Canis lupus familiaris: one gene and its partners. The protein of the gene in region 3 binds, or shares a complex with, the protein of the main gene of each other region. Links are inferred from orthologs where the notes say so. Each region holds a gene or a part of one and is shown on either strand. Other genes may lie near its edges.

The links.
Region 1: SARNP (region 3) and THOC7 share a complex: the UniProt entries of both Homo sapiens proteins name them as parts of the transcription/export (TREX) complex. The link is inferred for Canis lupus familiaris from reciprocal best matches to the Homo sapiens genes SARNP and THOC7.
Region 2: SARNP (region 3) and THOC3 share a complex: the UniProt entries of both Homo sapiens proteins name them as parts of the transcription/export (TREX) complex. The link is inferred for Canis lupus familiaris from reciprocal best matches to the Homo sapiens genes SARNP and THOC3.
Region 4: SARNP (region 3) and THOC1 share a complex: the UniProt entries of both Homo sapiens proteins name them as parts of the transcription/export (TREX) complex. The link is inferred for Canis lupus familiaris from reciprocal best matches to the Homo sapiens genes SARNP and THOC1.

What each region holds. Positions count from the first base shown.
Region 1 is NC_049241.1:27,567,570-27,575,551, reverse strand, and holds part of THOC7 (THO complex subunit 7 homolog), read right to left. Parts: intron 3,980-7,982; 5' UTR 3,862-3,979; intron 2,879-3,861; 5' UTR 2,860-2,878; coding exon 2,751-2,859; intron 2,536-2,750; exon of another isoform or gene 2,488-2,535; coding exon of another isoform or gene 2,463-2,487; coding exon 2,361-2,462; intron 13-2,360; coding exon 1-12. UniProt on the Homo sapiens protein: Component of the THO subcomplex of the TREX complex which is thought to couple mRNA transcription, processing and nuclear export, and which specifically associates with spliced mRNA and not with unspliced pre-mRNA.
Region 2 is NC_049225.1:38,017,227-38,025,873, reverse strand, and holds the start of THOC3 (THO complex subunit 3), read right to left. Parts: upstream 5,435-8,647; 5' UTR 5,363-5,434; coding exon 5,096-5,362; intron 4,352-5,095; coding exon 4,195-4,351; intron 2,414-4,194; coding exon 2,209-2,413; intron 1-2,208. UniProt on the Homo sapiens protein: Component of the THO subcomplex of the TREX complex which is thought to couple mRNA transcription, processing and nuclear export, and which specifically associates with spliced mRNA and not with unspliced pre-mRNA.
Region 3 is NC_049231.1:532,871-540,852, forward strand, and holds part of SARNP (SAP domain-containing ribonucleoprotein), read right to left. Parts: intron 7,519-7,982; coding exon 7,472-7,518; intron 7,249-7,471; coding exon 7,181-7,248; intron 3,362-7,180; coding exon 3,310-3,361; intron 2,105-3,309; coding exon 2,031-2,104; intron 1,606-2,030; coding exon 1,577-1,605; intron 1-1,576. UniProt on the Homo sapiens protein: Binds both single-stranded and double-stranded DNA with higher affinity for the single-stranded form. Specifically binds to scaffold/matrix attachment region DNA. Also binds single-stranded RNA. Enhances RNA unwinding activity of DDX39A.
Region 4 is NC_049228.1:67,145,776-67,153,757, forward strand, and holds part of THOC1 (THO complex subunit 1), read right to left. Parts: intron 6,502-7,982; coding exon 6,401-6,501; intron 4,973-6,400; coding exon 4,906-4,972; intron 4,708-4,905; coding exon 4,657-4,707; intron 4,566-4,656; coding exon 4,495-4,565; intron 4,121-4,494; coding exon 4,025-4,120; intron 3,451-4,024; coding exon 3,385-3,450; intron 1-3,384. UniProt on the Homo sapiens protein: Component of the THO subcomplex of the TREX complex which is thought to couple mRNA transcription, processing and nuclear export, and which specifically associates with spliced mRNA and not with unspliced pre-mRNA.

The DNA of each region.
Region 1 (7,982 bases), on a different chromosome or scaffold from region 3:
AAGCATCATATTCTGAAAGATATAAAAATATTTAACAAATTAAGGTTTCTTTGAACATGGATATGAAAAAAATGGACACCTGCACCCCATTGTTTATAGCAGCAATGTCTACAATAGCGAAACTGTGGAAGGAGCCTCGGTGTCCATCGAAAGATGAATGGATAAAGAAGCTGTGGTCTGTGTATACAATGGAATATTACTCAGCCAATAGAAATGACAAATACCCACCATTTGCTTTGACATGGATGGAACTGGAGGGTGTTATGCTGAGTGAAGTCAATCGGAGAAGGACAAACATTATATGGTCTCATTCATTTGGGGAATATAAAAAATAGTGAAAGGGATTAAAGGGGAAAGGAGAGAAAATGAGTGGGAAATATCAGTGAGGGTCATGGAACACGAGAGACTCCTAACTCTGGGAAAGGAACAAGGGGTAGTGGAAAGGGAGGTGGGCGGGGGGATGGAGTGACTGGTGACGGGCACTTGATGGGATGAGCACTGGGTATTATGCTATATGTTGGCAAATCAACACCAATAAAAAATATACAAAAAAAAGCTAAATGTCAAAAAATATGGAAAACTATATCATGATTACTGGTTTTGGAAATAAAATGCAGAATGACTATAAAAAAAACCAAAAAACCAAAAACACTGAGGGATGGAAAGAGTACTGCCAATATCACTTGGTTCAACTCTAACTAAAATGGTGCATGATTTCAAAACTGTTCCAAACAAGGACTTTTGCTCCCACTCTATTTTTCCATTGACTTATCCTTAGGCAGGATATAAGAGGCCAGCATAGTATAAGTGAATTTAGGCTATTTATTGATCATTAAGTGCACCGATTCTAAAGAGGATCTTACTATTTGCCCAGCAAAGAAAAGATCTGCAGGGTAAATATATCCTACCATTCATTTCAGATCTTAGCAATAGCAAATTATACTTCTCATTCTCATTCTAAAGGTAAAGACTTCAGCAACTTAGAAACGATTTAAAATTCAGAAATGATAAAATTCCTTTCTTTTCCATTGAGACTTCCAAGTTTCCCTGTTATTTCCTGTTAACCTTGACCTGATGAATGGCAGCATTCATTTAAAAGCCTCAACTAATTGAGAAAAACACTGTGAAACCTTTTCAAATGATTTTAGATTGATAATAATTACCAAATAAGTTGGTAAATCCTGCTGTAAATTGGCCACCAAACTTGACCACTTGTATTTTAGAACAAGTTCAAAACCAAACTTTTTATTTTATTTATTTATTTTTTTTAAAGATTTTATTTATTTATTCATGAGAGACACAGAGAGAGAGAGAGGCAGAGACACAGGCAGAGGGAGAAGCAGGCTCCATGCCGGGAGCCCGACGCGGGACTCGATCCGGGAACTCCAGGATCGGCCCTGAGCCAAAGGCAGGCGCGCCAAACCGCTGAGCCACCCAGGGATCCCCAAAACCAAACTTTTTAAAATAAGGAACCAAAGATCTTAATTGGCTCATTAAAAAGTAAAATTTATTGTTTTGGAAATCAGCATATTAATTCAATAAAAGTGTGATTAAAATTTTTTTTTTTTTTAGATTACAAAATAATACATGATCAGTGCAGGAAAAAAGACCAGATGGTCTTTTTAACCCATAAAAACCCACAGCTCCAAAATAATCTTTAACATTTTCCATTTCCTTCTAGTTTTTCATATATAGGTCACAATTGTGATTATGTATTATTATTATTTTTTTGTATTATATTTTTTAATTTTTTATCTTCCTTTCTTTCCATTTACATTCTAGGAGGAGCAATGTCCTGGCCATTAAAATTATTTTGAAATAGTTTTTATGGACTGCAAGGAGGACATTACCCTAATTAAAAAACAAAAGAGATCAGGACAAAGCTAAATTTTAACCTTTCTCTTATTAGATATTTAGGCAGCTTGCAACTGTTCATTTGTTTTGTACTTAATAAAAACTCACTGAGCTTAAATTCTTTTCTTTTTTCTGGAAAGTAACTCCATGAAACAAACAAATAACAAACATCTAATTTACTTATGTGAATTGCCTTTGCTGATTAGCCATACCATGACTTAGGCAAAGGGGTCTGAAGATAGTTAAAAAAAAAAAAAAAAAAAGAATATTTAAGAAATATTTGGATAATTAGTACAATCCAGAAAAAAAAAAAAAAACAGTTTTTCAGCATAGCCTTCCTCATCCATTTTAAATAATAATACAGTTTTAAAGAATAAGTTTAGCTTCTAATTCTTTTTAATAATGCAGGTTGATTCTTGAAGATTTTACCACACAACATTAAAAACTGCATGAAAATAGTACTCAATAATAAAGTATTTGCACACTAAATCCCACAAAACCCTTACCTTGGCGATTTTTTCGTATTCGCTTTGCTTGAAGAATTTGCTTTTTGCACTCAGCAATTTTTTCATGTGCTCCAGCAATGCTACATTCTATACGAAAAGGTTCTTTTAAAAATAGTTGTAACAACATGTATAATCTTCATCCATTTTCAATTTTAAAATGTGTTAAATTCCATTGCTAATAAAATAGATGCTGGTATTTAAAAAACAGCTATAACCCAAAGTACTGCAATCATACCAGACTACAGTTTTGTAGCTAACATTTACAATGTTCTATTAATATTGTCATTGTTACTATTTTACCACTAACCAAAGAAAAATGTTAGCAGATATTGTCTCCTTTAGACCATAAAAATTAAAATTACATGGAAACATTAATTTACATTTCTTTACCTATTTCTTTGTAAATTTTTTCATAATTTTCCATTTCTCTGAGATTCATATCATATACCAGCAAAGTTTTGCCCATTGAAAATTCACATTGGGACAGTGTGCTCAGCATACGTTGGTACTGGCTGTATCTAATGAAAAAGAGAAACAGAATGAAGATTTTTTGTGAAATACCAAAGTTGAACCATTCTAGTACAGGCAAAGATTTACCAATTAAATCCTATCAAGTTCTGAATCATTTGCTTTATTTAAAATAATTTAGAATATCTTTCATTTATGTTTAATTTTTCCTAATGTGGTGTACTTGAATTTATAAACTGCTTTAATTACAAGTGCAAAGATAGGCCTGCTGTTCTTACCAATATAAGTTTAAAATACTTTTTAAAAATTTATTTATTTTTAACTTTTTAAAGGGAGAAGCAGACTCCCCCCAGGGAACCCAACATGGGACTCGATCCTAGGACTCCAGGATCACGACCTGAGCCAAAGGCAGATGCTCAACCACTGAGCCACCCCGGTGTCCCACTTTTTAAAATCTTTTAATCAAGATAATTTCTTATTCTCACAATTTTTTCACTCTTTATAATGATTTATGTGAAAAGCTAATTCAAGTGAGGGAAATTTTTCTAAGGCAAAAAGAGTTATTAAATATATATAAAATCTTGCAACTTTTTATTAGCTTATTTAAAAAAGAGAAAATTGAGGCACCTGGCTGGCTCAGTTGGTAGCGCAGGCAACTCTTGATCTCAGAGTTGTGAGTTCAAGCCCCACATTGAGCCTAGAGCTTACTTAAGAAAAAAAAAAAAAAACCTGAAAAGAGAAAATTTCATTTAGATATTTTATTTAACTAAATGTTTCTCTGCTAAAAGTGACCAGCTTAATGAGCCAGAATTTAATGCTTGTTTCTTACCACTACACTTTCTGCACATTTTAATAAAGATAAAGCAGGCCTCTGAAGAGAAATAAAGGCTAGAAAAATCTATACTTGGATGAACCCAGAGTTGCCTCCACTGGACATTGAAGGTGAGTGAAAATCTGAAATATTGACAGGCCCGTCTATTGGTTTAAACTCTCATCAGGACATTGGTATAGAAACAACAGTGAGATGAATTACCCCTCTTCCTGGGACCCGGAGTTGCACCATTTAATGAAACTTTTCACTAGCAGATTGATTCTTCGATCATCTCCGGCACCATCTCCATCAATTAAGAGACGCTTCCGTATGACTTCGTCTGGAGGGAAGAACAATGTGAATTAAAATGATGGTCTGGCTCTTGTTAACTTTCAGGGACAAATAACCAATATCACAACTTATTCATTTATCTAAAAGAAAACCACTGAGATGCAAATATACTTCATGCCACTACACTGTTCACTTAAGATGGCTAAGATGGCAAATTTTAGGTCATGTAGGTTTTATTACAATTTATGTATATGTTTTTATGTCACTATAAAGACAGTTATTGAGTGTCTATTGTGTGCCAGGCAGTGTACTAGGGATCAGGGTTATCACCTGTGCTCACAGAACTGGAAATCTTCTGCTGGGGTGCTGAGTAGAAATAGTTTTCAGGTAACATCAAGGAAGTAAGACTATGGTTCTTGGAGAACTTTTGGAAAAACATGTTCACACAGAAGGAAGGCTGAACTGTTCCTGTCTCTGACTAGTGTGAGGTAGTGGTAAAAGGCACAGAAAGAAAACATGTGAAAGAGGTAGTGGCAGATTGGGTGAAAATAATGAGAGATGGGTCAGAGAAATGGGAATGGATTTGTAGGAAAAAAAGAGTAATTTAGTTATTACATCTGTGATGTTTCTTTCCCCATGAAGACTTTTTTTTTTTTTTTAAACATGTTTGTCTCACTTTGCTCCAAGGGAAAGAAAAAGAAAATGAAATCAAAGGGCATATAATAACAATGAGTAATAAGTGGAGCTCCAATCTGCCTGTCTGGCAGCCCTGAGCTAGTGTTCTTGCTGGACAAAATAATGCTGGATCATGACAAGAGAAAGGGCATACTGAAACCCAAGAAAACATAATTTTTAAAAAAGATTTATTTATTTACGTTAGAGAGAGAGAGAGAGAGAGCTAGAGCATGCCGGGAAAGGGGCAGGAGAGAATCCCCAAGCCAACTCCTCCACTAAGCAGCTAGCTCACATGACTTGAACCAAAACCAAGAGTTGGAGGCTTAACCAACTGAGCCACCTAGGTACCCCAAACATAATTTTCATCTATCAGTTTGGCAAAGATCAAAATACCCAATAAAAAGCATTCACAAGGATACTGAGAGAAACAGCACTTACACTGATGAGATGTAAACTGGTATGCTCTTTGTGGGGCAAATGGGCTATAACAAACAATATTTAAAAGGCACATATCTTTTTTTTGACCCCAGAGCTCCAATTCTAGGAATTCGTCCCATAGATAACATGTGTACCCAACCACAAAGATAAATGTAAAGGGATGTTCTTAGTGCTGTTTGTAGTAGGAAGACTGCAAACCTAAACATGTACCAATAAGAGACTGGTTAAGTTATGAAAACTTCATATAATGTAATATTATGCAGCCAATAGTGTAGATGTATACACTGCTGCCAAAAAATCTCCTTTGGTACATGAAGTGAAATGAAAACAAAACAGGTGCAGAGAAGCACACAGTTTGCTGCCATTTGTATAGAAAAGGAGGAGGCTTTGTGTATGTATGTGGATGCACATGTGCACATCACACATGTATGTGTGTACTCAGAATATCTTTGGAAGGAACACAAAAAACTGGTGATAGTGGTTTCTTCTGGTGAGAGGGACTACAGAGAGGATGAGAAAAAATTTAATTTTCTGTATCGTTTCACCAAATTGTGTTTGCTTTTCACCACGTGCATGCATTATTTTTTTTTAAATGAATTTTAAAGTGTGAATAATTCCTGGAGAGCCTGCATGATGAATCAACAGCAAAATCTTTAAACAATAGTTCCTGTGCGTAGGCAGAAGTATTTTTGAGTGCAGGTGCAGTGGAGATAAACTTTTGGAAGGCAGGTGGCTGCAGTTTTAAAATCTGTTCTGTGACATCAGATAAACATTTTTAGAATTGGGTTTTGTTCTCAGAGTCATGGCTTTGACAGGCAGCTCAAGTTATCGATTCATCACTTATTTTAATTTTACACTTTTAAAATACAAACTAATACTTTCAGTTTTTGACCACCAACAATGTTATTTGAGGAGCCTGAGACAAAACAGTTCTCAAAGAGATTAAAATGCAGAAAATGAATTTTTTTTATTACACATATGCTTTAACTTTGTTAAAAGTAAATCTCCAGCAGGTGAGCAGTCTGATGTTTGACACTGTTCAATTCCTTTCTTTTGTTCAATTTCTCGTTTTCTTATCTTTGCTCTCCCATACCCCACCCCTGAACAAACCCCATCTTCCTCCCAGATACCTGGGCATCCTACTCTATTGAGGACCAGGGATAATAGGGAACAGCAAAATTGGAGAATAAATACCCTAAGGGGGAAACTACTACCACTGCTGGTTTTTCAAGAGCTTTTTAAGTTTTGGTGACTAACTAAAAATGTTTCAAGCACATTTTGCGATCATTCCAGCTGCATATTTAAGATCTGTGTACTTTGGGAATCCCTGGGTGGCTCAGCGGTTTAGCGCCTGCCTTCGGCCCAGGGTGTGATCCTGGAGTCCCGGGATCGAGTCCCACGTCAAGCTCCCTGCATGGAGCCTGCTTCTCCCTCTGCCTGTGTCTCTGCTGTCTCTCATGAGTAAATAAATAAAGTATTTAAAAAAATATCTATGTACTTTTATATATGCAATATCCCAATTATAAAAGTTTTTGAAAAGTGTTTAGAACACTGTACAGGCCAAATAACCTTGGGGAAAAGGTTCATGAGGACCTTATGTCTTATTCATTCTGTTTCCTCTCCAACCTTTCACATGGGTCTTTACACTTCTGGTGGTCAATAAATATTTTTAAATTAGACTTGTGGTGCCTGCCTGGGACTATTTGCCCTCCACAGAGCTTTCTCTCTCTCTTTCTTTCTCCAAAGACTTTATTTATTTATTCATGAGAGACACAGAGAGAGAGGCAGAGAGAGAGAAGCAGGCTCCATGCAAGGGGCCCGACATGGGACTTGATCCCAGGTCTCCAGGATCACGCCCTGGGCTGAAGGCAGTGCTAAACCACTGAGCCACCTGGGCTGCCCAGAGCTTTGTTTCAATAAAACACTAACAAGGACCAGCAGGCAACTATCTTATTTTCAGGTCCGAAGCAGAGATTTCTCTTCTTGTACAAAAGACATGAATACTTGATCCATGAGCACATGTGTCCATAGGGTACTGGAGTGGTTCTGAGGATGTGAGATAAAGACCTGAACTCTTTCGCTCTGGGTAGAGAAATAACATGTATATGAACACACATGCAGAGGAGGCTAGCATTGTTGAGTGAGTGATGCAGAAATGCACCAAAAGAGATTAGGAGGACAGCAACTTTTGGCTTGGGGGAATCAGGGCAAGTGCAATTTGGGCGCTCATTTCATACTTAAAAATCATCAATCAATGGGGTGCCTGGGTGACTTGTTGGTTAAGCATCTGACTCCTGGTTTTCTGTTCAGGTCCTGATCTCAGGGTCATGTGATTGAACCCTATGTTGGACTCTGCACAGAGTCTGCTTGTCCCTTTCCTTCTGCTCCCCCTCTCCTCACGTTTCCCCCCCCCTCAAATAAATAAAAATAGAATAACATCTTTACAAAAATCATCAATCAAGAAATCTATAAAGTATTTTAACAACATCTACCTAAACTTCAAAGAACATATACCCTTTGGCCCAACAATTCTAGATAAGCTTGCCTGTATGCAATATGACTATGTCCATGAACCAGGCACTATATAAATTTTGGTACAAGAATATCATGGAATACTATGAAGCCATAAAGAAAAAACAAAGAGTGAGGAAATGTTTATGTGCTTATACAGAGATCACTTAAGATAACTTGATAAAAGAGCAAGGTGAAGAACAGTATGTATAGCATGTTTCCTTTCACACATGGATTTTAAATGAGGGGGGAAATGAGAATATATGCTTATATTCATACAAATACCCTGAAATGAGATACAAGAAATAAAAGGGGTTATCAAGGGAGAGGGTCAGTGTAAGTGGAATAGAGAACAGGCTGGGAGATGGGGACCTATCTTTTTGTATTATTTGACTTTTGAACCATATGAGCACTCACAATCTGTTAGC
Region 2 (8,647 bases), on a different chromosome or scaffold from region 3:
GAATTTTAATTGAAGTCATCAATATAAATTCACAATGCACATATTTTATTTTTTTTACAATATACACATAGAATTCTTTGCTCTGTCCACTAGAAAGGTCTAGAAATAATGACCAAACCATGAGAATGAGAAATGCTTCCATAGCTCCAATATCAGTTTCTTATAAAAAGAACCTAGCGATTCTTAGAGGAATTTCTGATTAAAGGTCTGAGGCAGAAAACATACAAGATGAACTCAGATATCCTGTCAGACCAGAGAGCAACAACCTGAAGACTACTAGGATTATGTAAAAAAAAAAAATGACTCAGGAATCAACCTGAAGAGGCTCCCATTAGCTAAAGATGGGATAATTTGAGTTTCTATTAAGGATAATTACTCCAACAGATTGAAATACATCTACCATGCTTCAATACATGAGTTTATGAGTCTTAAAAATACAACCTAGCTCATCATTTTTGGAGGCAATAGAGAACTAATTCATTATCTGATGACAAAGGGAAAGAAGCATTTATCCTGCCTTTTCTAAGTAAACTATATTCTTAAGTAAACAAATAGTTGATAAGAAGAAGTATCTTATATTCCAACAAATAAATTAGCATACAAAATTAGTAAAATCGAAACTAGGAGAATCTCTGCAGGTTAACAGCCTAGTTTTCCAACAGCTATATTATAAACAAAAGAAGGATGAAGAGCAACTTGGTAGTTTAACAAACTTAAAAGACACTAATTTTTTTTAAACAGACGAAACCAGAGTATCTAGAAATGCATACTTGGTAGCTAAAACTATAAAGAAATACTATAAAAATCAAGATAGTGTCTCCTTTTGAGGAAAGAGAATTATGACTAGGAAAAATACATAGACAGATTTCTGGGATGGCCAGCAAATTACTATTTCTTGACCTGGATGGGGTTACACAGATAACAGTTCATTAAGGCATAAGTTGTTTTAAGTGGCTTTCTGTATATGTTTTATTTTCTAATAAAAAGGCTTTTAAAAAAAACTAAAGAATCCCCACTTGAATAAAATTCAAGTTGCTAAGCACAGAATTCCAGCCTTTTATAATCTGGTCCCAGATTATACTTCAACTTTATCTTCCCATTTTCAGGCCCTCTCTTCAGATACCTTATCATCCATTCCCAGCAATTTTGACCTACCAACTACTTTCCATATAGAATACGCTTATTCACACCTGTTTTGTCCATTGTATGACTGCCTTGTGCTGATTCTTTAAATTCTACTCAGCTTTCAAGGTCAAGCTCAGAAGCTGCCTCCTTCAATCCTCAACTCCCACAGTCAATCTAAGTTTCTTTCCTGGGATGCCACAGCAAACTCTCAGCCTCTCTTCAAGAACCTATTTTACACTGCCTTGCACGGCCCATAGAGAATAGCAGAAAGAATAGAGCCCACAGACCTGAATTTCAATTCCAACACTCCATTCATTTACAGAATATTTACTGAGATCCTAACTCTGTGTACCAGGTATTAAAGTAGGCACTAGGGATTCAAAGTAATATGTGGTCCCTACATTCATGGAATTTAGAGTCTAGTGGAAGATATAGGTAAATAAACATGTAATTATAATATAGAATGAGAAATGCTTCCAACAGGAAGTACATAAAATAAGCTTCTAACCTGGAAAGGTAGGAAACTGATGAAGATGGCTTCCCTGGAGAGAAAGTGATATTTAAGGAGAGACTTTACGGGTACAAATTAGCCATAATTCAAGGTGCACCTACTTCCAGTGCTCACTAGTTGACTAGTGATTTAACCTCTCTGGATCCCAGATCCTCATCTGTCAAATAAGACTCATACTATCAACCGCATAAAATTTCTCTAAGGACTCAGTAAATAATTTTTATTTATTTATGATAGTCACAGAGAGAGAGAGAGAGAGAGGGAGAGGCAGAGACGCAGGCAGAGGGAGAAGCAGGCTCCATGCACCGGGAGCCCGATGTGGGATTCGATCCCGGGTCTCCAGGATCGCGCCCTGGGCCAAAGGCAGGCGCCAAACCGCTGCGCCACCCAGGGATCCCTAGTTAATAGGACTCAGTAAATATAAGGTGTCTGGCTCAAAGTTGCTCAACGGAGGTTAGGATTCTTTATTACCATGTGTCCTTTAAGCTCCTTCAGCACATCTAATTCATCTCTGTATCTAACACAGCACCCAGGGCAAAGATATGACAGTCCCTAAACTACAACCCCCTCACCTGAGGATGTTGATACAACCATTGCCATTTGTCAGGAAGAACATGTTATTGTCATTATTCCAGGAGATTTCATTTACTTCAAACTTGAACTGCTCTTCCGCCTTAGAACGGTGTGTCTTGGCATCAATAAAGGTCACCACATCATCCTTGTTGCCTACAGCTATGGTCTGCCCATCAGGACTCCAGCAGATATTTATATTCTCCCCTAGAAACCCAGATATAATCAGGAAGATATTGTTAGCCCAAAATCCTGCAGAAGTTTATTTTTTTTTAATCTGACAAAGACCAGAGCTATTATCTCCAAATTCCATTCACTAAGGTCCGAACCAATAGAAGGGAATGGGCAGCCCGGGTGCCGGGTGGCTCAGCGGTTTATTGCCACCTTCAGCCCAGGGTGTGATCCTGGAGACCCCGGATGGAGTCCCACATCAGGCTCTCTGCATGGGGCCTGCTTCTCTTCTCCCTCTGCCTGTGTCTCTGCCTCCCTCTCTCTCTCTCTCTCTGTGTTTCTCATGAATGAATAAATAAGATCTTAAAAAAAATAAAATAGAAGGAATGACCACTTACTCACCAATTATAAGTCCAGAATATTCATCTACAAATTTCCCCCTGTGGGTCCTCACTATAATTCTCTAAAGAACACTTTATTATCCCCATTCTACATATGAAGATATGGAAGATATGAGAGATGAGCCAAACTGTCAAAGCAGTGAAATAAAAGAGCCAAGATCTAAACTAGATTTGACTCCAATGCCTCTGATTCTTTTTTTATTTAAGATTTACTTATTTATTCATGAGAGACACAGAGAGAGAGGCAGAGACATAGGCAGAGGGAGAAGCAGGCTCCCTCCCAGGACCCCGGGATCACAACCCAAGCCAAAGGCAAATGCCCAACCACTGAGCCACCCAGGTGTCCCCAAAGCCTCTGCTTCTCAGACCAGCATTCCCAAAACTCTGGTCATTTATATGCCACTTTCACAATTTTGTTCTATCCACGTTAACAGCTATATTTCTTTATTCAAGATTTTTCTTAAAATTAACTTAAAAAATTTTTAGTTAAATAAATTTAGTTTCCATTTAGTAATAAATTTTATGGGCTAGTTCTTTTTTCCTGGTAGGCATTAAAATAAACACACAGCCGACTTTTAATGTTCATCTACATACCACCTAAATCATTCATGCATCACCAGTTGTCTACTTGGAGAAAGCACTGTAACATTCCACCTCTACAGACAAGACTTGTCAACAAAGCCCAATGGCCCACAGTGAACACATCGATTAAAAATTTCATCAACTTTATCAATTCTATGATGCATATATTTTCACACTTAATTCTTTACAACGTATCTTAAAATGCATCAAGATGCATCTCAAAAGTTTTGGTGGATCATGGTTATCTAGAAACTTTTCTTTCTTAACAACACATAAAACATCGGTACACCTTATAATCTGTGACGTTAGTCGATAAAATATAAGTGGCCTCAAGGTTTATAGGATAATACCTGGTAGAGAATAGATTCTACAAATGTACTGCACAACCCCCAGGTCATTTTCTCCCAGACCACCAAAACTATTCATTCCAAGATCAGCCATTCTAGCCTAGCAGGAGTTTCCCAAATTCTCCATACATCTGCACATGCAGCTCCCTCCTAGAGCTGCCGCTCACTCCTCACTCACCCACTGGACCCCGGACCACTAAATCCCTATTAGCTATTCTAAGAGTTTGCTCAAATTTTGTGAGATCTTGCTTGTCTCCACAGGCAGACTAAGCACTTCCATTCTAGATATCCATCTTGTAGACATCTCCAGTGTAACATGAACTATATTAGGGTTTTAGGCCCTAGGAGCTGGAGATTGTCATATTCAGCCCAGGATGTCCCATACCTAACACAGGGCGAAACACAGAGAAGATATTCAGGAAATGCTTGTTGAATTAAATTACTAAAAGTAGCTCATCTTCCTATTGCCCTCTCTCTGAAGAGTCACCTTTAGTGTTCACGGTGGCAATGCATTTTGTAGTCCTCACGTCCCAGATGCGAATGGTTTTGTCTCCCGATGCGGTGACAAAGAGGTCAGGATTACTTGGATGCCAACAAAGCTGGTCCACACTATCCCCATGTCCCCGATAATTGTTTTCTTTGACCTGAAAGAACAGAATCCACATGTCACCTTACACTTAAGTACCTGCCTCCACATGTAACTTCTCAGCTTTATTTAAACCAAGGCACCTTATGTCTAACAAAGACAATTTAAAAGAAACCAGTCCTTCCAAGTCCCTTCCCCAAAATTCTTCCCAATATCCCCTTCTCTTCCTTTCCAATCATTCTGAATTGTTCTGAGGTTTGGATTCCACATGAATGCCCTTACACTTTTGCCTTCCCTGGACTTCCTCCTTCTTTCTGGTTCTCCACACTTACTCTACCACCGACGTTCCCGATTTTCTTGCTCACTCCCACAGGAAGCCCTATTATTTTCAAAGGGGCCCATTACACCCTCATGGGGACCCCACCACCACCACAGACCCTAGCCACTCCTCACCACCACACAACTCCTTCCATCACTCTCACACACCCTCACCTCACTCCAGTCCCGTCCACCACCAGTCTTCATCCTGTCCTAGCCTACTCCCCGCTCATCTTCACAGCTCCTTTACTGCCACACTCCCTCGCACCCTCACCTCCCTTTTACCACCACCATCTTCCTCTCCACCACAGCCCCCAGATCCCCAAGCACCACTCTGGTCACTCCAGCACTACATATCCCCCTTAGCCCCACACCCCTCCTCTCCCCTCGCCTCCACCCCCCTTTCCACTCCCACTCTCGCCCTCAACACCACACCTCGCTCTACCACAGCCCCTCTCTCTCTGGCCTGGACCGGTCAGCTTACCAACCGGTCCTTCTCCAGTAGGAAAACGCTGGCCGTCTTGTCGAAAGACCCCGAGGCCAGGCGACGCCCGTCGCAGCTCCAAGCCACCGAGTGCACCTTGGCGCTGTGTGCAGGGAATTCGCGCGTCTTGCTGTGGCCGCGGAACAGCTCCTGCATTCCCAGCACGTAGCGTGTTGGGCCACTGGTCACTGAGCACCAGGGAGCCATTGAGCCAGGACCACTCTGGCCCAGCGCCGAGGGCCCCATGGCCGCCGCAGGGACCGCCATGGCGAGCTCCCAGTAGCCCGCGTCTCTACCGCCGCTTTGGTGCAGTCAGGCCTGCCGCCGCCGCTGCACGCATGCGCCTGGAGAACGCCCCTGCACAGCCGCAGTGCGGGCCATCCGGGAGGGGACTACAAATCCCGGCATGCAGCGCGCTACCCCTTTTCAAATAGTAATGATTAGGATTTAAGTTTCCATCATAGTGATTCTGAGCTTTTGAGGGCCTATTTCCCCCTTATCTACTGCCTGGTAGATATATTTGTATCCCTGTTTAATTGAAAAAGAAAGCCAGGGATCCATGGGTGGCTCAGCGGTTTGGCGCCTGCCTTTGGCCCAGGGCGTGATCCTGGAGGCCCGGGATCGAGTTCCGCGTCGGGCTCCCTGCATGGAGCCTGCTTCTCCCTCTGCCTGTGTCTCTGCCTCTCTCTCTGTGTGTGTGTGTGTCTCATGAATAAATGAATAAAATCCTTTAAAAATAAATAAATAAAATAAAAAAGCCAACGTTATCCCTCCAAACCTCAATTCCCCATCAATAAAAAACAGTAGATTCTCCACCCCTCAATCCCCTCCCTTAAGAGCAGAAGGCCTCCGACTCTGGCTGGAGAAGGACCAGCTGGTAAACTAGAGGTTTTTAGGGGTCCAGAGCAGGGAGGGAAGGGGTTGGGAAGGGGCCTGGGTATGTCTTTAAATAAACAAATTCTCCGATTTTTAAAAGTACTATTGATGGAGGATAGAAGCAGGAAAATGTTCACCTCTAGTCCAAAAGGCTAGTCTGTAGCCTGCATAGTTCTGATGAGGATGAAATACATACTGATTGCTACATTCTTTTTTTTTAGTTATTTATGATAGCAGGCTCCATACACCGGGAGCCCGACGTGGGAGTCAATCCCAGGTCTCCAGGATCGCACCCTGGGCCAAAGGCAGGCGCTAAACCGCTGCGCCACCCAGGGATCCCTGATTGCTATATTCTTAAAGGGTCTCATGACTGCCTGTATATCTCACGAATACTTAATATCAAGATGAATGATAAGCACCAGAGAACTCTTTTGAAAATAGTTTTATGAGTAGAAATTTGAAGAAAAGACATATGACCTAATACTCCCTGCACATCCTGACGCCCTTGAGCACTAAGCATGTAACTACTGTAAAGTTGCTCCCGCTGGCGGTGGTAAGAAAAGAGGCTACGAGGCCGGTGGATCCGAGAAATGAACTTTATTGCAAGCACCCTCGGGCAAGGTTTTCCCAATTGGGAAGTTCCTGGGTGGAAAGTTTCAGTTTCCTGATGGTGACGTGGAGGCCGCAGTGAAGAGGGCGGGGAAAGTCCGCGGTCTTGGAGAGGGTTGGGGGGGGGGGTGATCCGCCTTTTTGGAGCCCCGGTTTCCCAGCCGGCCCATCAACTACTAACTTCATACAGCAGGAGTGCAGATCCTTCTGCCCTTAAGCCCTAACCCCATGCCACTTAAATAAACTTACTGTTATACCATAAAACATCTCAAAAATTCTTTCGTGACCATCATGCTCAATGATGCCACAACACTACATGCACATGATTATATATACAAAAACATAAAAGATACAGAGTAAAAAGTAAATGTCCACCTGTGTCACCTCCCCTCCTTGGATTATTCCCACCCTCTGATCCCTACTTTAAAGCACAAGTCCAGGGATCCCTGGGTGGCGCAGTGGTTTAGCGCCTGCCTTTGGCCCAGGGCGCGATCCTGGAGACCCGGGATCGAATCCCACGTCAGGCTCCCGGTGCATGGAGCCTGCTTCTCCCTCTGCCTGTGTCTCTGCCTCTCTCTCTCTCTCTCTCTCTCTCTCTCTGTGACTATCATAAATAAATAAAAATTTAAAAAAAATAAATAAATAAAGCACAAGTCCAGCAGTTTCCTGCTGAAGAAACAACTAATGAGCTGCCAGAGCCAACCAAGGCCCTGGAGAAGGACTGTGGCCTCGGGGAGGGTTTTGGTGTTAAGCCGGTGGGTGGAAATTTGTTTAAAAACAAATTTTAGGGGCAGCCCCTGGGTGGCTCAGTCCGTTAAAAGTATCCAACTCTTGATCTCAGCTCAGGTCTTGATCTCAGGGTCAAGCCCCTCGTTGGGCTCCACACTGGGTGTGAAGACAACTTTAAAAAAATTTTTTAAAGGTAATATGGCACTTGGTAACAAATGTAGAAAATACAAAAGGGAATAGAGGGGATGCCTCGGTGATTCAGTGGTTGGGTGAAGCCTTTGACTCAGGGCATGGTTCCTCAGTCCGGGATCAAGTCCCACATCGGGCTCCTGCAGGGAGCCTGGTTCTCTCTCTGCCTATGTCTCTGCCTCTCTCTCTGTGTCTCTCATGAATAAATAAATAAAATCATAAATAAATAAATAAATAAATAAATAAATAAATAAATACACACACATGTAAAGCACATAGCTCTGAGAAAAGCCTTAGTAAGTGAGGCCCTTCTCTTTCCCCAATTTCCTTCTCTACCCCACTACAATCACAAATCCTTGTAGACTTCAAAGCTTTTTAGACTCCAGAAAATACCAATGAAGCTCATTAAAATCTTAGGTTAGGAGACTGTTTGGTGTTTAGTTTTCTCTCCTTAAACTTTTATTTTCAGGAACTGACTTCATATGCTTGCTTTTTCTTTTTTCCTCCATACACAGAGGATTTCTATCTCCAGGTTCCAGGTAAGGAAACTAAAGAACAAAGAGGCAAAATGTTCTGCTCCAGATCACATGGCTGCTATTGGACAGAGCAAAGATTAGAACTCAGCTGTTACGACTCCAAAATCTACACTCTGATTCTCAGTACCTGAAATCTCCATGTTATGAACATAATTCTTTGTGTTTCTATATTAACTTTGTATTTTTGAACATCATGTGTGTTTTTTATTTCACTTTCCCTTGTGCTCTTTTTCTATATTCTGTAAACACAAATGTTAGATAAGTGTATCCTTCTGCTTTTCACTGAGACAGAATCTGATACAACTGTTTTGAAGTTAGAATAGTATATGTGTGGGGGCTATGTGACTGAAGCCAGAGAATCTCAAAGGAGAGATAAAATTCAGGGAACAGAGAGGCATGGGCCATTTTTTTAAAGACTTATATTTGGAAAAAAAAATCAAATGTACAGAAAAGTTGCAATATAGTAAGAATGCTATTAGACCTACTACCCAGATTATCTAGTTTCAGCATTTTGTTTCATTTGTTTTCCATATACATATGCATATACATATACATATATTTCACCTAAATGTTTGGGAATAAGTTGCATATATTATTATACTTTACCCATAAA
Region 3 (7,982 bases):
TAAATGGATGAACTATAGGGAATATGAGTTATATCTTAATAAAGCTGTTAAAAAATACATAAATAAATTTTTTTAAAAAACATAAAAAAAAATAAATAAATAAATGGATGAACTATAGGGAATATGAGTTATATCTTAATAAAGCTGTTAAAAAAATATATCACAACTGGACAAAGGAACACAGCAAAATGCTAGATCTTTGGAGGACATTTTCTTTTTCTTGAGGACATTTTAACACTGACAGTTCAAACTGACATCACTCGGAAGACTAAATTAGATTAAGAGATTACATTTAAAATTTATGTCTCTGGGATGCCTAGGGGGCTCAGCGGTTGAGCATCTGCCTTTGACTCAGGGTGTAATTCTGGAGTCCCAGGATCGAGTCCTGCATCGGGCTTCCTGCATGAGGCCTGCTTCTCCGTCTGCCTATGTCTCTGCTTCTCTCCTCTCTGTCTCTTATGAATAAATAAATAAAATCTTTAAAAAAATAAAATAAAAATAAATTTATGTCTCTAAAACTGGACTATGTTCTTTTTAAAAGTAACTTTCTTCCTGATTTATAAGATACATACACTCATTGCAGAAATTTTAAAAACAGAGAAAAGCAAAAAGAAGTCACTCAAAATTCCACCAACCAGAGACAATAAGTATTAACAATTTATACATATTCCTCCAAACTTTTTTTTTTTTTTTTTAAAGTAGGATCCAGGGCCAAGCCAGGGTTTGAACTCAGAACCCCAAGCGCAAGAGTCTCATACTCTACTGACAGAGCCAGCCAGGCACCCCTCAACTTTTTTTATTTTATTTTAATTTTTAAACTCCACACCACGCATGGGGCTCAAACATACAACCATGAGATCAAAAGTCCACGCTCCACCAACTAAGCTAGTCAGGCACTCCCCAAACCTTTTTTTCTATCCATACATGCACTTCTATTACTAAAAGGGAAATACACACTACAATACAGTTTTATACCTGTTTTCACTTAGTATTTTTCTGACAAATATTCTTCAGTATCATTTTAACAACTGTATAGTCTTCTACTACACTATGGTGAACACTTAACAAATTCCCTATTACATATTACATTGTTGCTAGTTACAGATCACTAAACATAATGCTGTGATAATCCTTATGGCTACCTAAGTCTTTAAGCATATCCAACATTATTTCTTTGTAAATTCCTAGAAGGAATTACAAGACTGTTGAGGTAAAAGATACTCTCTTTTCTGTTTCACCTCTTACAGTAGGCAGTATAACACGAGACAGGAACACAATTACATACCAATTTGAGACACCAGAATAAGTAGACAAGGTACTAAAAACTTCTCTAAAGATGTCCAAGAAAAAGAAAAACAAATGTTCACATTTCCTCCTATTCTCTCATACTTCAGCACCTTCTCTAAATTGCCCAGCAAGGCTTAAGTATGGTTTTACCTAAAGCAAAAAGGTGAATGTTATAAGCACTTCAAGTCTTCTCAAGCTAACAAGTTTAGCTTCATTTGAAGAATTGAAATATGTTTTGACAGGAAAGTAAAAATATAAAGAGAACTTTCTTAGAAGAGTCTCTTCTTACCTTTTGATGAAACTGAAGATATCCCAAATCTGTAGGAAAAAAACACATGCTAAATTTTAGGAAGCTATTCACACTCCTGGTTGTCTGTCTCCATGTCAAGTGTACATATGGCACTTCTTGCTTGTGATCTCAAGCCTTGCAATCATTAGCTAATTCTAACAACCCCATGAAAGAGGTTCAGTTTACTTTTTCTCACAGAGAGACCAGAGAAGAAGCGAAAAGGAAACCTTATCAAAATTGAGAGTAACAGTGTTTTCCTGCCTTTTACCTATTAAAAAATCCTGCTTGATGAGACCCATCCAAATCAGCAAAGAAGTTCTGAACAGAGCCAAATGAGTATTTATCAGCAAAGTTTCTATTTTACTTAAAATCAACAATTATATTTAAAACCTAGGATCATGCCCCTCTCCCATCATACTATCACTGTCTCAGATCCAAAAGGCTGGACACTCACCTTGCTGCCCGGGCAGCTTTCTTACTCTCCAAGCTCACAGGTACATTGAATCGTTCAGCTCTCTTCTGCATTCTCTAGGTGATAAAAAGACAAAAGAAGGGAAGAGATGGGATCCCTGGGTGGCGCAGCAGTTTAGCGCCTGCCTTTGGCCTAGGGCGCGATCCTGGAGACCCGGGATCGAATCCCACATCGGGCTCCTGGTGCATGGAGCCTGCTTCTCCCTCTGCCTGTGTCTCTGCCTCTCTCTCTCTCTCTCTGTGACTATCATAAATAAATAAAAATTAAAAAAAAAAAAGGGAAGAGAAAAATTAATTTCTGGTTTTGTGGTGTTTAGAAGTGTGTATCTTTAGAACATCAGGAGTATATTTCATAAGGTCTAAACTGAGAGCACCAACAATCCTAGAGGATATCAGGTTTTATCCATTCAGGGTTTAACTCAACTGCCCTTTCCAGAAAACAAACACAAAAGACTATTATTACACTTATGGCCTCAAAAACAAAAGGAAAGGAATAAAATAAAACCCACATTCTGCACGAAGCCAAGAAGACAAAAGCTGTGTTTGGTTGACCTTTGAAAAGGGATCAAAGGAACAGCTTGGTTCCAACAGTAGTGGTACTCTTTCAGTTAGAAATGAGGCAGCATTGTCCTATGTCATCTCTACTTTAAAGGTACAAAAAACCCAGAGATCTCAACTGGAGCCCAGTTTCAGAGATCTTGACACAAAATCCAGAGAAATTTTAGTCTTACCAGCTATCAAGTAGTGACATCCTCCTAATTACTTTTCATCTCTTCCAATGGATAATCCTACCAAACTCTAATCTAGTTTGTAAACATCTTAGAGTTACCACTAAGGCCTAGGTACTAAATATGAAAAGACTAGGGCTTCAAAAGTGACTATGCCAGCCCAAATATTTTCTCAAGTGCTGACAGTAGAAAAATATATCAATACCAAAATCTGTCAATACTGATTTTCTATTTATGAGTCAGTTTTTCAGTGATTATAAAGGTAGAATAAAAGGTAAGAAACAGAAAGATAGGGATCCCTGGGTGGCTCAGCGGTTTAGCGCCTGCCTTTGGCCCAGGGCGTGATCCTGGAGACCCGGGATCGAGTCCCGCATCAGGCTCCCTGCATGGAGCCTGCTTCTCCCTCTGCCTGTGTCTCTGCCCTCCCCCCCCCCCATGTCTATCATGAATAAATAAATAAGTTAAAAATCTTAAAAAAATAAAATAAGAAAGATACATAGAGACTGCTCTTCTACTAGGGAGCAAAACACCTACCTCAGTCTGTGGTATCTCAGATGTAATTTTTACCACTTTCTTCTCTGTTGCCCTGGAAAAGAAGAAAGAAATTTTTTAAAATGAGGAAACTTGATATTCTAACCCAAAACTTTAGAATATATAAGAATTCATCTGAATCTTGTCCTCTGTCTCATTTCTCTCCATCACCCCTTAATTCAAAAAAAATATGAAGCTCATTAGAACTTCAGTTCATCGAACTGCCATCTATTTAAGAGTTCAAATAGCAGACAAAGCTACTTTACAAAAGTATAAAAAAGGAATTAGGAAAAAAGTCTGGTTAAATATATTGGGCTGAAAGGAAACACTCAAAGGACATTAGAAACCATTTCTTTTACTTTCAGGAACTTTAAATTTACTTCTGGACTAATGACTATTCCTCTAACCCTCATTTAAATGGCAGCTCTCAATTTTCATCACAACGACAATTAACGAGTGCTCTACAAGCTCTGGTTTCCTTCTTTTACAAATCCCTTATTTCTCCCACGGGGACTGTAGCTCCAGCTGGAACAGTCAAAGTGAGACAAATAAAAATGCCAAAGGGAGTGGGAAGAAAAAAGACTAAGGGGAGTTTGAATTAGGAAAACATGGCTAAGTTACTAGTCAAAAGGTTTAAGAGAAAACAAAAGAGGGGGGACCACTGGGGCGGGAGACAAAGTTCGGAAGTACCCAGGATAAATGGAAGGGCATTAACCATCCACCAAACAACTCCCATAAAACTGTGGGTCATAACCAGTCTCATTAAGGTCCCTCATTTAGAGACATGGGCAGCCTTTGTTCCAATATCCCGGACACTTTCCCCATTTGATGCCCTGAAAGGTAGTAATGGTTTAATGGCATTTTCAGAGGAAGCAATTCTGAACAGGAACTTACTCTCTCCATCCTTTTGTTGGAGGTTCTTGGACTGACAGACAAGTAATGGGTGCCCCCTGCTGACCATAACTGCATCCTACAGTACTTAACTGCCCTGGTTTGGGGTAGTGGGGGTTGGGGGTATCAAACTAGAAATAGTAACATATTTCTGGAGAACCTCAAGCCAAAGAGGAAGGAGAATCTCCTAATGAACATTCAAAGTACCTAAGTTAGTCCTCAATATTCTTACTTTAAAGAAATTCCTGAATTCTTACCATTTCCTGGTCATCCACATGTCCCAAAACCTCTCTCGTTCAGACAGAACGGGACACTGAATTTTAAAGTTTTACTTGAAGTCCAATGCCATTAAGAGAACAGTCTTCTCCACCAACCCCCAGCTAATAACTTTCTTCACATTCCTATCTTGAAGCACAATCACTGCAGTATACCTCATGGCAGAAAGGGAACCTCAAAATAGGGTGCTTCTTTCTGCTTTGTTTCAGATACTTTAGGTACAATTAAGCTCAAGCAATTAAATACACATCACATTCTGGAACTCATGGGAAACGTATTCTCTTTACGGAGAAATTTCTATCCTAACCAGTCACAAGACATTCTCCAAACTACAGGGACCCAGAACTTTTCTGAACATACTGCAGTCTAACCACTACCATCACTCTAAAGAGCAAAATCACCCCTGCTAATACACACTTTCAATTTCCTTGTTTAGAAATTCATTAATAAAATCAAATGCTCTGAATAAGAGAATTACACATCTCACATATTCTAAGAATAATGAACTTCTACGAATTTTCAAACTTCATTGTTAACCTACAAAAACCAATTATCATTGTATTCACCTTATCTTCCTTCTTCCTCCAGATGTTCCCCAAAACATTGCTACTTTAAATGTATTCTATAAGCCATTTCCTTAAGGCATTATATCTAAACGTAAACCTCCTATGATGGAAGATAACTAGATGGCTTTAAAAAGCAATATTATTAGGGGTGCCTGGGTAGCTTGGTCAGTTAAGCATCTAAATCTTGATTTGGATTTCAGCTCAGGTCATCATCTCAGAGCTGTGAAATCAACCCCCACATCAGGCTCTGTGCTGGGCATGGAGCCTGCTTAAGATTCTCTCTTTCCTTCTGCCCCTTTCCTCCCACCAAAAGCAGTATTATTAGATAAAATCTAATGAAACATTAAATGTATATCCCCTGTGATGCAGCAAATCCACTGCAGGGAATTTATCGCATGGACACACTTGCATAAGTATAAATATAGCTGCTTAAAGACACGCAGCACTGCATTTTTTGCTATTATGAATTACCTAAATGTCCATCAACAGGAGACTGGTTTGAAATTACTGTTCATCAATAGAATGGAGTACTATTAGCTGCTAGAAGAATAAGGTTCTATGTTGATAACTACTAAATCTGGGTGAGCAGTACATACAGGTCTATTATACTGTTCTCATAACTTGTATATATACTTGCCATTTCCCACAATAGCAAGCTAAAAAAAGAGACCTACCACTTAGAAAGATAATTACACCATTTCATACGGTTGATGTGAGGACTAAATGGGAATACATGCAAAGCACTTAGAATCCTGCCTTGTGGGGATCCCTGGATGGCTCAGCGGTTGAGCACCTGCCTTCCACCCAGGGTGTGATCCTGGAGTCCCCGGATCAAGTCCCACATCAGGCTCCCTTCGTGGAGCCTGCTTCTCCCTCTGCCTGTGTCTCTGCCTCTCTCTCTCTCTGTCTCTGATGAATAAATAAAATCTTAAAAAAAATAATCCTGCCTTGTATATAACATTTTAATAAAAACATTATTATAAGGTAGCCCCAGTGGAGCAGCGGTTTAGTGCCGCCTGCAGCCCGGGGTGTGCTCCTGGGGACCCGGGATCAAGTCCCATGTTGGGCTTCCTGAGTGGAGCCTGCTTCTCCCTCTGCCTGTGTCTCTGCCTCTCTCTGTGTCTCTCATGAATAAATAAATAAAATTAAAAAAAAAAAACAATTATTATATAATGACTATAAAAACACATGAGAATAATCAAGAAACCCACAATATGCCTAGTGTATGTATGTATGTATCTGTACATGCATACATACACAAACTCTCCATATAACATTCTAAAGAAATATATTGAAAACCTCTGGAAAGTCAGATGGGAGTAGAGAGAAGAGGTACATAATTTTCGGTTTATATACTTATCTACATAGTATTTGACTTATCACAAGCACATATATCATTTTTTATAATTAAATGCATAAATACAGCTATGAGGAACAAAAATGTTAAAAAGGATTCAACGGTTATTAATTACTGGATTTGACAGCCCTCAAAAAAGAGGTTTATGATCAACCTGTGGGATAGTTTTTTTTTTTTTTTTTAAGATTTTATTTATTCATGAGAGACACAGAGAGAGAGAGAGAGAGGCAGAGGGAGAAGCAGGCTCCATGCAGGGAGCCCGACGCGGAACTTGATCCCAGGTCTCCAGGATCAGGCCCTGGGCCGAAGGCGGTGCCAAACTGCTGAGCCACTCGGGCTGCCCTGTGGGATAGTTTAAATAAGGTCCACTTTCTACTCTAGTACTTTGTCTTCCCTTCTTCCACTGTAAATCAAAAAGGGAGAGAGAATAAAGTGTTACCTAAAAGACATTATCTCTGCTCAGAACCATCCTCCCTTACAAAATTCCTTATTCACAGGAAAATCTAGATGTTTATACAGAAAAAGAATCATCCATTATGGTCCTACAACAAAGGCTAGAACTAAACTCTGTCTGAGATTGAAGTTTCCTGGTCCTAGTTATCTATTACATAACCCAGAGACAAACCACTTTGCTTCACTGGGACCATGTTCTGAAAATGTATGATCTAATAAAAAATGAAAAAGCCAATGGAAAGGTTTAAGAAGTAAAGAGAGTGAAAGACTAAACCCCTCCAAAACCCAGAACTATCTGCCCTTACTCAGATCATAAAAAAGGGATAGTTACACATCAACAGTTTTCTCAGGAGGTTCTTCCTCTTTGACAGGTAGTTCTATGGGCTTTGGTTCTTCTTCCTAAAACCAAATGAAATAATGGTTAATATAAACCAACAGTAAGTACCCAACAATAAGAGTATTAGAACTCAAAAATGAACCAGTTTTTCAGAACCTTCATTCCCCCCTCTATGCTCCCCTAACAAGTTAGCATTTAAGCCCTCTAATGATTGATGGTAAGCAATGTGGCCAAGGTATCAACATGTTGCCAGGCCAGTGACTAACCTTACTCTCTCCAACTCACCTCTGTTTCATCTCCCAGAACATCTTCTTCATTTGCCTCCTCTTCAGCTAAAGAATATTAAAATATTCAGGTCAAGCCCTGCTAAAAAAAAACCATCTTGATCACTGTACTTAGGCTAAAATTATAATCATTTTGCTTTCCCAAAATAAAATTCAATAGTTGAAGGCAGATCTGATGCTCATAAAATCTGCTCCACATGGAAAAGATAAAGCCGTATTATTCTCTACCTAACATTAATACAAAGTTGAACTCCAGCTGCACTGAAAAACCATAATAAGGTCAAACTATAACATTAATGTTACAGAGAATATCTTTAATATTTAGTGGTGAGGAGGGATTTCTAAAAAAAAAAAAACAAAAAAACAAAAAACACTGCAGGGTAGCCCCAGTGGCCCAGCAGTTTAGTGCCACCTTCAGCCCAGGGCATGATCCTGGAGAACCAGGATCAAGTCCCATGTCAGGCTCCCTGCATGGAGCCTGCTTCTCCCTCTGCCTATGTCTCTGTCTCTCG
Region 4 (7,982 bases), on a different chromosome or scaffold from region 3:
TAGAATCTAGTGATTTAATACTTCCATACATCACCCCGTGCTCATCACAAATATCCTCCTTAATCCCGATTACCCATTCAAAGCATCCTGCCACCCACCTCCTCTCTGGTAACCTTCAATTTGTTCTCTATGGTTAAGAGTGTGTTCCTGGTTTGCCTCTTTTTGTTTCCACCACCACATTCATTTTGTTTCTTAAATTCTACATATGAATGAAATCATATGGTATTTGTCTTTCTCTGACTACTTAGTTTGCTTAGCATATTACATGCTTAGCTCCATCCATATTGTTGCAAATGGCACGATTTCATTTTTTATGGCTGAATAATATTCTATTATAGATAAAGATTCACACCCACCCACCCCATATTTTATTCATCAGTTGATGAGTATTTGGGCTCTTTCTATAATTTGGCTAGTCTGCTATAAACATTGGGGTTCAGTGCTGGATTCTTAATTTTCAGTTAACTTTGAGTTAAATTTATAGACATTTAAGGTCATAAGTTTTCTATTTCTCAAAAGCTTAAGCCCCTAATTCCTTGTCATTAATTCTATGTTTTCTAATTTACATTATGATTTCTTCTTTGATTCTGAAGTTATTTAAAATAAGTACCTGAAAGTTCTTTAAATATATTGTTATTCATGTATTAATTTAAATGCATTTGTGTTTTCTGTAAGCCTAAAGCCTGTTAATCGTCTTGTTAAACCCTAACTTTTTTTGACTGAACTTATTAAATACTTAAAGTATTTTTTTTTTCTTAAAGTATTTAGTGTCAAAATTCTAGTAAAACATTTTGCAGAAGTGTGAAAACTGTCAAAATGTTGGATTGGTTAATTTCTCATTCTAATTGTCAGTTTTTTGAGACTATATCCTTTAGAAACAAGGTTTAGAATATATATATATTTCTGCTCCATTTTTTTTCTTGTATCTTTATGCAATAATTATCTTTATTTTTAATGCTTTCGGCTTTAAGATTCTTCTGACAGATATCAGTATAACTATTCTTCATATATATATGTTTTAATATATATATATTAGTTTCAACCTTTCCATATCCTTATTTTGAAAGTGTTTCTTATAAATAACATATATAAAAAATATAAATAAATAAATAAATAAATAAATAAATAACATATAGAAGGACTTTTAAAAGACAATACCAGCTTCCATCTTTGAACTAGAAAGTCCATTTCCATTTATTTTTAACTATATTGTTTTATGTGTTCCATTACTTTTTTTAAAAGATTTTATTTATTTGAGGAGGCGTGGTACGTGTGCACACATGAGCAGGAGGAAGGAGCAGAGGGAGAGGTACAATCGGACTCCCTGCTGAGTAGGGAGCCCGAAGTAGGGGATCGATCCCTGGTCTCCTGGATCATGACCTGAGCCACCCAGGTGCCTCAATGTTCTATTACTTGTTTCTTATGTGTGTTTATCTTGCCTATTTTTGATTGCATGAATTTTCTTATATTCTTTTATCCTCCACTCATTTGAAAGTTATATATTTTCTATATATTCTATTTCTTTTACATACTTTAGCAAGCATGATTTATTATTTATTTTTTTTAAAAAAGATTTTACTTATTTATTCATGAGAGACATAGAGAGGCAGAGACACAGGCAGAGGGAGAAGCCGACTCCATGCAGGGGGCCTGACATGGGACTTGACCCCATGTCTCCAGGATCACGCCCTGGGCTGAAGGTGGCGCTAAACCTCTGAGCCACCCGGGCTGCCCCAAGCATGCTTTATTTAAAGTTGTTATCTCTGTCTTCATCTCTAACATTCTTTAATTCTGATCATTCACTGTATTATGTTACTTTTATCAAATATTTAGTTTTTACCTTTTAAAATAATCTCCAATTAGTAATTAATACCACTTTATATAGGAAATTCTTGATGAGATTTATTCATGTTTATCAGTGTCTTGAATAGCAATGTTTCTTGCAATTTACTGTGTTTCTGGGTTCAATTTCTTTGACAGCTTCAGTAAGTACTGCTGATAATAGATTTTCATGGTTTTAATCTGAAAATAACTTTATTTCACAATAACTCCTGATTCATCCACCAACTTGTTACTTGACACTTTCTCATAACACTGTGAAGAGCTATCATTCCAATTTTCTGGTTTCTTTTGTTCTTACAGTTGGCTGTCTGATTTTGTTTTGCAAGTAGTCTGGTTTTTCTCTTTGGTGACTCTACAACAATGTGTAGAGATACAGATTTATTGTTTATCCTACTTAAAATTTGTTTTTCTTGAACCTAAGAATTTATGCCTATTCTCAGTTCTGAGTTCATTATCTCTTTCTTGCTCTCTATTCCCTCATTCTGTGGTTCTTTACTCTCAACTCATATTTTCTAACTCTCGATCCCTCTGACTGCTTTCTGGGTGATTTCTTATTCATTAATTCTAATATGCACCTATATCCAGTCTGCTATTTAACATGCCTATTAAGTCTTATAATTTCAATGATTATATTTTCTCATTGCTAGAATTTTTTTTTTTTTAATTTCCTTGGTCCTTTTAGAGTATGCTATTCCTTTTTAAAATTTCCAATTCCTTCTTTTATGCCTTTAACTATCTTAAATATACTTATTTTAAGCTATCTTTACTTGATGGGTTTTATTATCAGAAGCTGTTGTCTAACTTCTGTTGTCTGTTTTGTTTGTCCTATCTGCTGATTCTTTCTTGTGGTGGATTATTAAGTTCAGAAGGTTGACTATCTTCAGACTTTTATCTGTAGGATCCTTGTGTGGCTTAGATTGAACATGTGACCTCAGAAAGCTTTGTATCATCAGACTGAGACATCTGAATTCACCTCTTTAGTTAGGGGGGTTCCTTTACACTGCTGGTAGGATAAATTTAAACTACAGGACTGTGTGACAGCAGACTTGTAGTTATAATTTCCCCAGCTGTCCTTTTTCCTTTTTACTCACACCTCAGGTAGAAATGGGCAAGTTATTTCCTATGCCACTGAGCAAGTCCCTCCTCCCCAATCTGCTCTTCTTTTTATATCTAGTGCAGTGCTTCAAGGGCCCCAGCTTTACTCAAAGGAGACTCAGTTACAAATCTGTGCAGGCTGAAGGTCTTCCCTTCTGTCCTTTTGTGGCTCTTAAACCTAAGTTCCCTGGTTCCCCAAAGTGAGAATCCTCTGCAAGCTTCCCAGCTAGAAGCAACCATATTGGCTCATGCTTTCGTTTTCAGTTCCCTCTTCTTTTGTAAATTTGTACTTCCTTGTGATTTCTAAAACTATTTTATCAGCACTTCTAGGTGTTTCATTGTGGGAAGCCATATTCTGCTATGCCAAAGTCAATCACAATAAATTAATTTCACTCACTTAAAACATTTGAGAAAAGCAGTACCTCATGTGAAACATTTTAAACTTGCCTTGTTTCTGATTTGCAGGCTTCCATATTATCAGGACAGAGATTCCAAAGCCTTGTTAACTCCTCACTACAAAAGAGACACATAAATAAATACATTTTTAATGGACATCATCCTCATATGCCTTAAAGTTGTAAAAATACTTAATTAGTGAATTTTTAGGTGGTGACAAGATGAGTTTTCATTCATTAATTTTTGGTATTATGCAAATTTTCTAGATAGCTATATTAAATGATAACAGTCATTTGTTCTTTCTAAAAATATTCAAGCAAGTATAAAGCAATGAGTAATTAACTGGAAGGTAATAGAACCTGAAGGATCATGGTACCTTGCAGAAATTGAAGTGAGCTCAATCAATCTAACAGTGATTGTATTATCTGTAACATGGAAAAAATGGCACAGACTAGAGCCAAGGATTTGGGAAGCGAGAGACAAAATGGAAGTTTATGTATCTGCATGAATCCAGGTAATGGGCCCTCGAGATTGAGAGTGTGTGATCCATTTTAGTCATCTATGTATGTGCCAAACACAAAAAAACTTGAAAAAACACAGAAACTGGAGAGATCTTACAGTAACATCTTCAAAATATATATATAAAAAAAACCAATACCATCCCACATATGGAAGAGACAGGTTAACCTACTTTCCCATCAGAATCTTTTTGTTGGGTCCTTTCCCTAGAAAGTCCTCTGGTGCCGTTCTCTTTCGAGCTACTCTTGTTGGCTTGGTGTCTGATGTTCTGTGGTGAATAAAACACACTGGAATTACAAATGGAGAGCATACATAACAAGTGTTTAATGTGAAAGAAAATTATTGTTTTTTCCTATAAAAACATAAAAGCTTCCTCTTATTATAGAACACTCATCAGATAGGAGACAAAAATGCCACAACTAGGGGACAAATGGCATTTTTTCAGGAATAATAGATTAATTTGTTCTGGGAACTTAATGACAAGGAATCTGAAAGACGACTAGAAGTAAATCAAAATGGCTATATTCTTATAGAGTTCAGTTTATATGAAATACATACTATCTGTACATAATGCAAAATAATGTCAAACTATATTTTGAAATGCCTTTCTTTTCATAGTGTTTGAGATGAGTATATATTTACCTTTCTTTCACAAAACTTGGGCAGCCTTCATTTTTCCATGAGTTCCAGTTTTCTTCAGTGTTTAATATATGCTGAGAAAAACAAAGAAATTACATTTATATAATGAAGGCCTTTGAAATTCTATTTGGTGCTAAGAAGACTATGTAAATATAAAACACATACCTCTACCATCTTTGAAAATCTTTCTCCATCGGGGGGGTTTTCAGATAGTAGCTGTGATTAGAAAGAATATACTAAGCTTTCAACAACTTTCTGCATCTTAGGAGTGGTTTGTAGGCAGAGGACCAAGAAGTGTTTGTGGTCTTGTACCTGAGCTTAACTTTATCCTTATTTTCCTATTTGGGGCTGAAACAAAGAAAATTCTAAATTTCCATTTTGTTCAATCATGGGTTTGTTGCATGTTGAACTTACTTGATAAACTGATTTTGTAGTATCTTCAATCCAGAGTGATTGCTCATCAGTTAAAACATAGTTTGAACTAGGGAACAAAGCAATAAAAGCATGCTTGAGTTACAGTAATGTATACTCAATTTTAAGGCTTATATACTATCTTATAAAAACCCAAGGCATGTAACAGGTAAGTTAACCATACTGAAAATAGTGTAAAAAATTACTAAGAACAATCACAAGAGGATTATAAGAGAAAATTCTTGCACTTCATTTAAGATGGCTAGAATTGAAGACACGAAGGTATATAAGGGAGGACACTCCATCAAGTTGATTAACTATGAACAGAGCAATGAATGTTTCCTAAAATAAGAAATTTAATGTTGAATGAAAACCTCTGAGAATATTAACCTATTCCTCTCCATGCTGCACATTCAGATAAAGCATGCTACATTCCTTTAAAAGGCAATCAAAACATAATGAATAAAACCCCCTAAATCTTAGTGAAGGTTGAAGGCAGACCCAAAATGTTAATGGGTGCCATTAATTCAGCTCTCACTATGCACCAATATATAGTGATACTTGGTGATCTTATAGTTAGTCAATAAATAGTGATAGACTACTGTGCCAGGAATCTGAGCACTTTAGATGCATTATTAATTCTCAGAACGAGCATGTGTGCTTTATTAAACAGAGATCAGAGATAAAGCTTAAATGCAAACCTAGGTTTGGCTCCAAAGTCCTTGATCTTTCTACCATGCTATATATTAAAACTCAACAATAGAAGGACAAGAAATAACTTTTTTGAGTACTTGCTATGTGTCATCTTAAAATCACAAGTCTGAAAGAGCTTAATTGCACCTAGTGAGTCATGAAAGTGGGATTCAAAGCCAGCAGGTAGTAAAGGCACATTTTTCACACAACTAATAAATCCAACACTGTTTTGCAAACTTAAAATGCCAGTGAGTAATGGTGAACTTCAGTCATGGATAGGACAAGAGGCAGTGGCTTATGTTGCAGATGGAGGTAGCCAGGAAGTAGAGGAACTGATCAGGTTTTCTGAAACCCTAAAGAGACTCGAACTGCTCTGTTCTTCAAAGATTTACTTTACTTTTGAATACTAATGTCCTAGACAGCTCCACACCTTGAAAGAGATTATGGGCTTATTAGTCTTCAAATCAGGTTTGGAGAAGGTCTGGGTGAAGTGAGAGGGGAATGGTGGAAGTCTAGAACAGAGATCCATCCATACAACTGAAGACCCCAGGAACCCCAGTGCTCAACAGGAGAGGCTTACACTGACAGCAGATACAGTCAACACCTTTTCTCTATAACAAGTACCCTAACATCTAGTATCTTTAACAAAAGCTCCTGATTATCCAGTGTTGCTGCAAAAGGAAGGTTTCAGGGATGTGACCCTTATACATTAAATGAGTCTGACACGTAAGAGAAATAGATCAGTAAGTGAGTCTTCTTTTAAAAAGGACTGTTTAGAAATCATTTACTACCCAGATTAACTTACCTTTTGAATTTGACCTGTCCCTTGAGATACTGGAATAAAATGAGATATTGCAACAGGATGTGTCGGCGAAAGTTACTGTCGCTCAGTTGCAAATCCATCAACTAGTTGAAAAACAAGCACACACACACAACACAAAACACATTAAATTCAAATTCTTCCTAAAGGTACAGGTATGCTATTATAGAAATGAAAGATTTTAATAAAATATTCATCACTGAGGGGCTCATTCAATATGAGGCATTACTGCACAAGCCCTAGGACAAGGGAGCAAAGGCTTCAGATATTTTAACCATGAGATATTTATGTTGGCAGATAGCAATGTTAGATCAGTGGTCCTGAAGTCAAGATAAAGCAAAGCAGAAATATACTTAGGTAAAAGTATGGCTGCCACTTTCTCACATATAAAGAAATGATGGCTAGAGAGAGGTCCATATATAGATAACAAGGGATGCTGGTCATTTTTGCAGCCCTACAAAGTGCCTGCAACAGACCTGCGGCTCGGTAATAAGAAATTACAAGTGAAAAACCATCTGTGAATTAAGTGGATTATTTCCTTCTATTTTAAACAATTTTTAAAAAAGATTTTATTTATTTATTCTAGAGAGGCAGAGACACAGGCAGAGGCAGAAGCAGGCTCCATGCGGGGAGCCCAATGCAGGACCCGATCCGGATCCCAGATCTCCGGGATCACACCCCGGGGCTGAAGGTGGCGCTAAACCACCAGGCCACCTGGGCTGCCCTCCTTCTATTTTAGAGAAAATAATATCATACTTGTATTATCACAGAATCTGCATTAGAAAGGACTTGAAGGTCCCTTATGAGGAAGTTTTAAAATAACTATGTCCCTGGATGTTTTCTAAGAATGGCCTCCACTGTGAAGGCAGTCATTCTCATTATATCCCTAGAGCCCTGAAGCAACGCTGAAGTCTTTATCCACAAACGTGTGCTGCTTTGGCCTTCCAGAGCTAAAGCAACAGTGAGAAGCTGCTTATTTTAAACGGATGACCAACTTGCAAGTCACCCGAAAGTCCTAGGAATGGAATGCAGTTGAAGGTCCCAAGTCCCTTTGGCTATGTTTCCATCTATTTAACATTCACTGGCCACTTCCTCCGCCCCCCCCCCCTTTTTTTGTTTGTTTTTTTTTTTTTTTATTGGAGTTCGATTTGCCAACATATAGCATATCACCCAGTGCTCATCCCGTCAAGTGCCCCTCTCAGTGCCCGTCACCTAGTCACCCCATCCCCCCGCCCACCTCCCCTTCCACCACCCCTTGTTCGTTTCCCAGAGTTAGAAGTCTCGTGTTCTGTCACCCTCACTGATATTTCCCACTCATTTTCTCTCCTTTCCCCTGTATTCCCTTTCACTATTTTTCATATTTCCCAAATGAATGAGACCATATAATGTTTGTCCTTCTCCGATTGACTTATTTCACTCAGCATAATACCCTCCAGTTCCATACACATTGAAGCAAATGGTGGGTATTTGTCGTTTCTAATGGCTGAGTAATATTCCATTGTATACACAGACCACAGCTTCACTTCCTCCTTTTTAAATGCAACTGGCCTAGGGTGCTGTGCGTCAC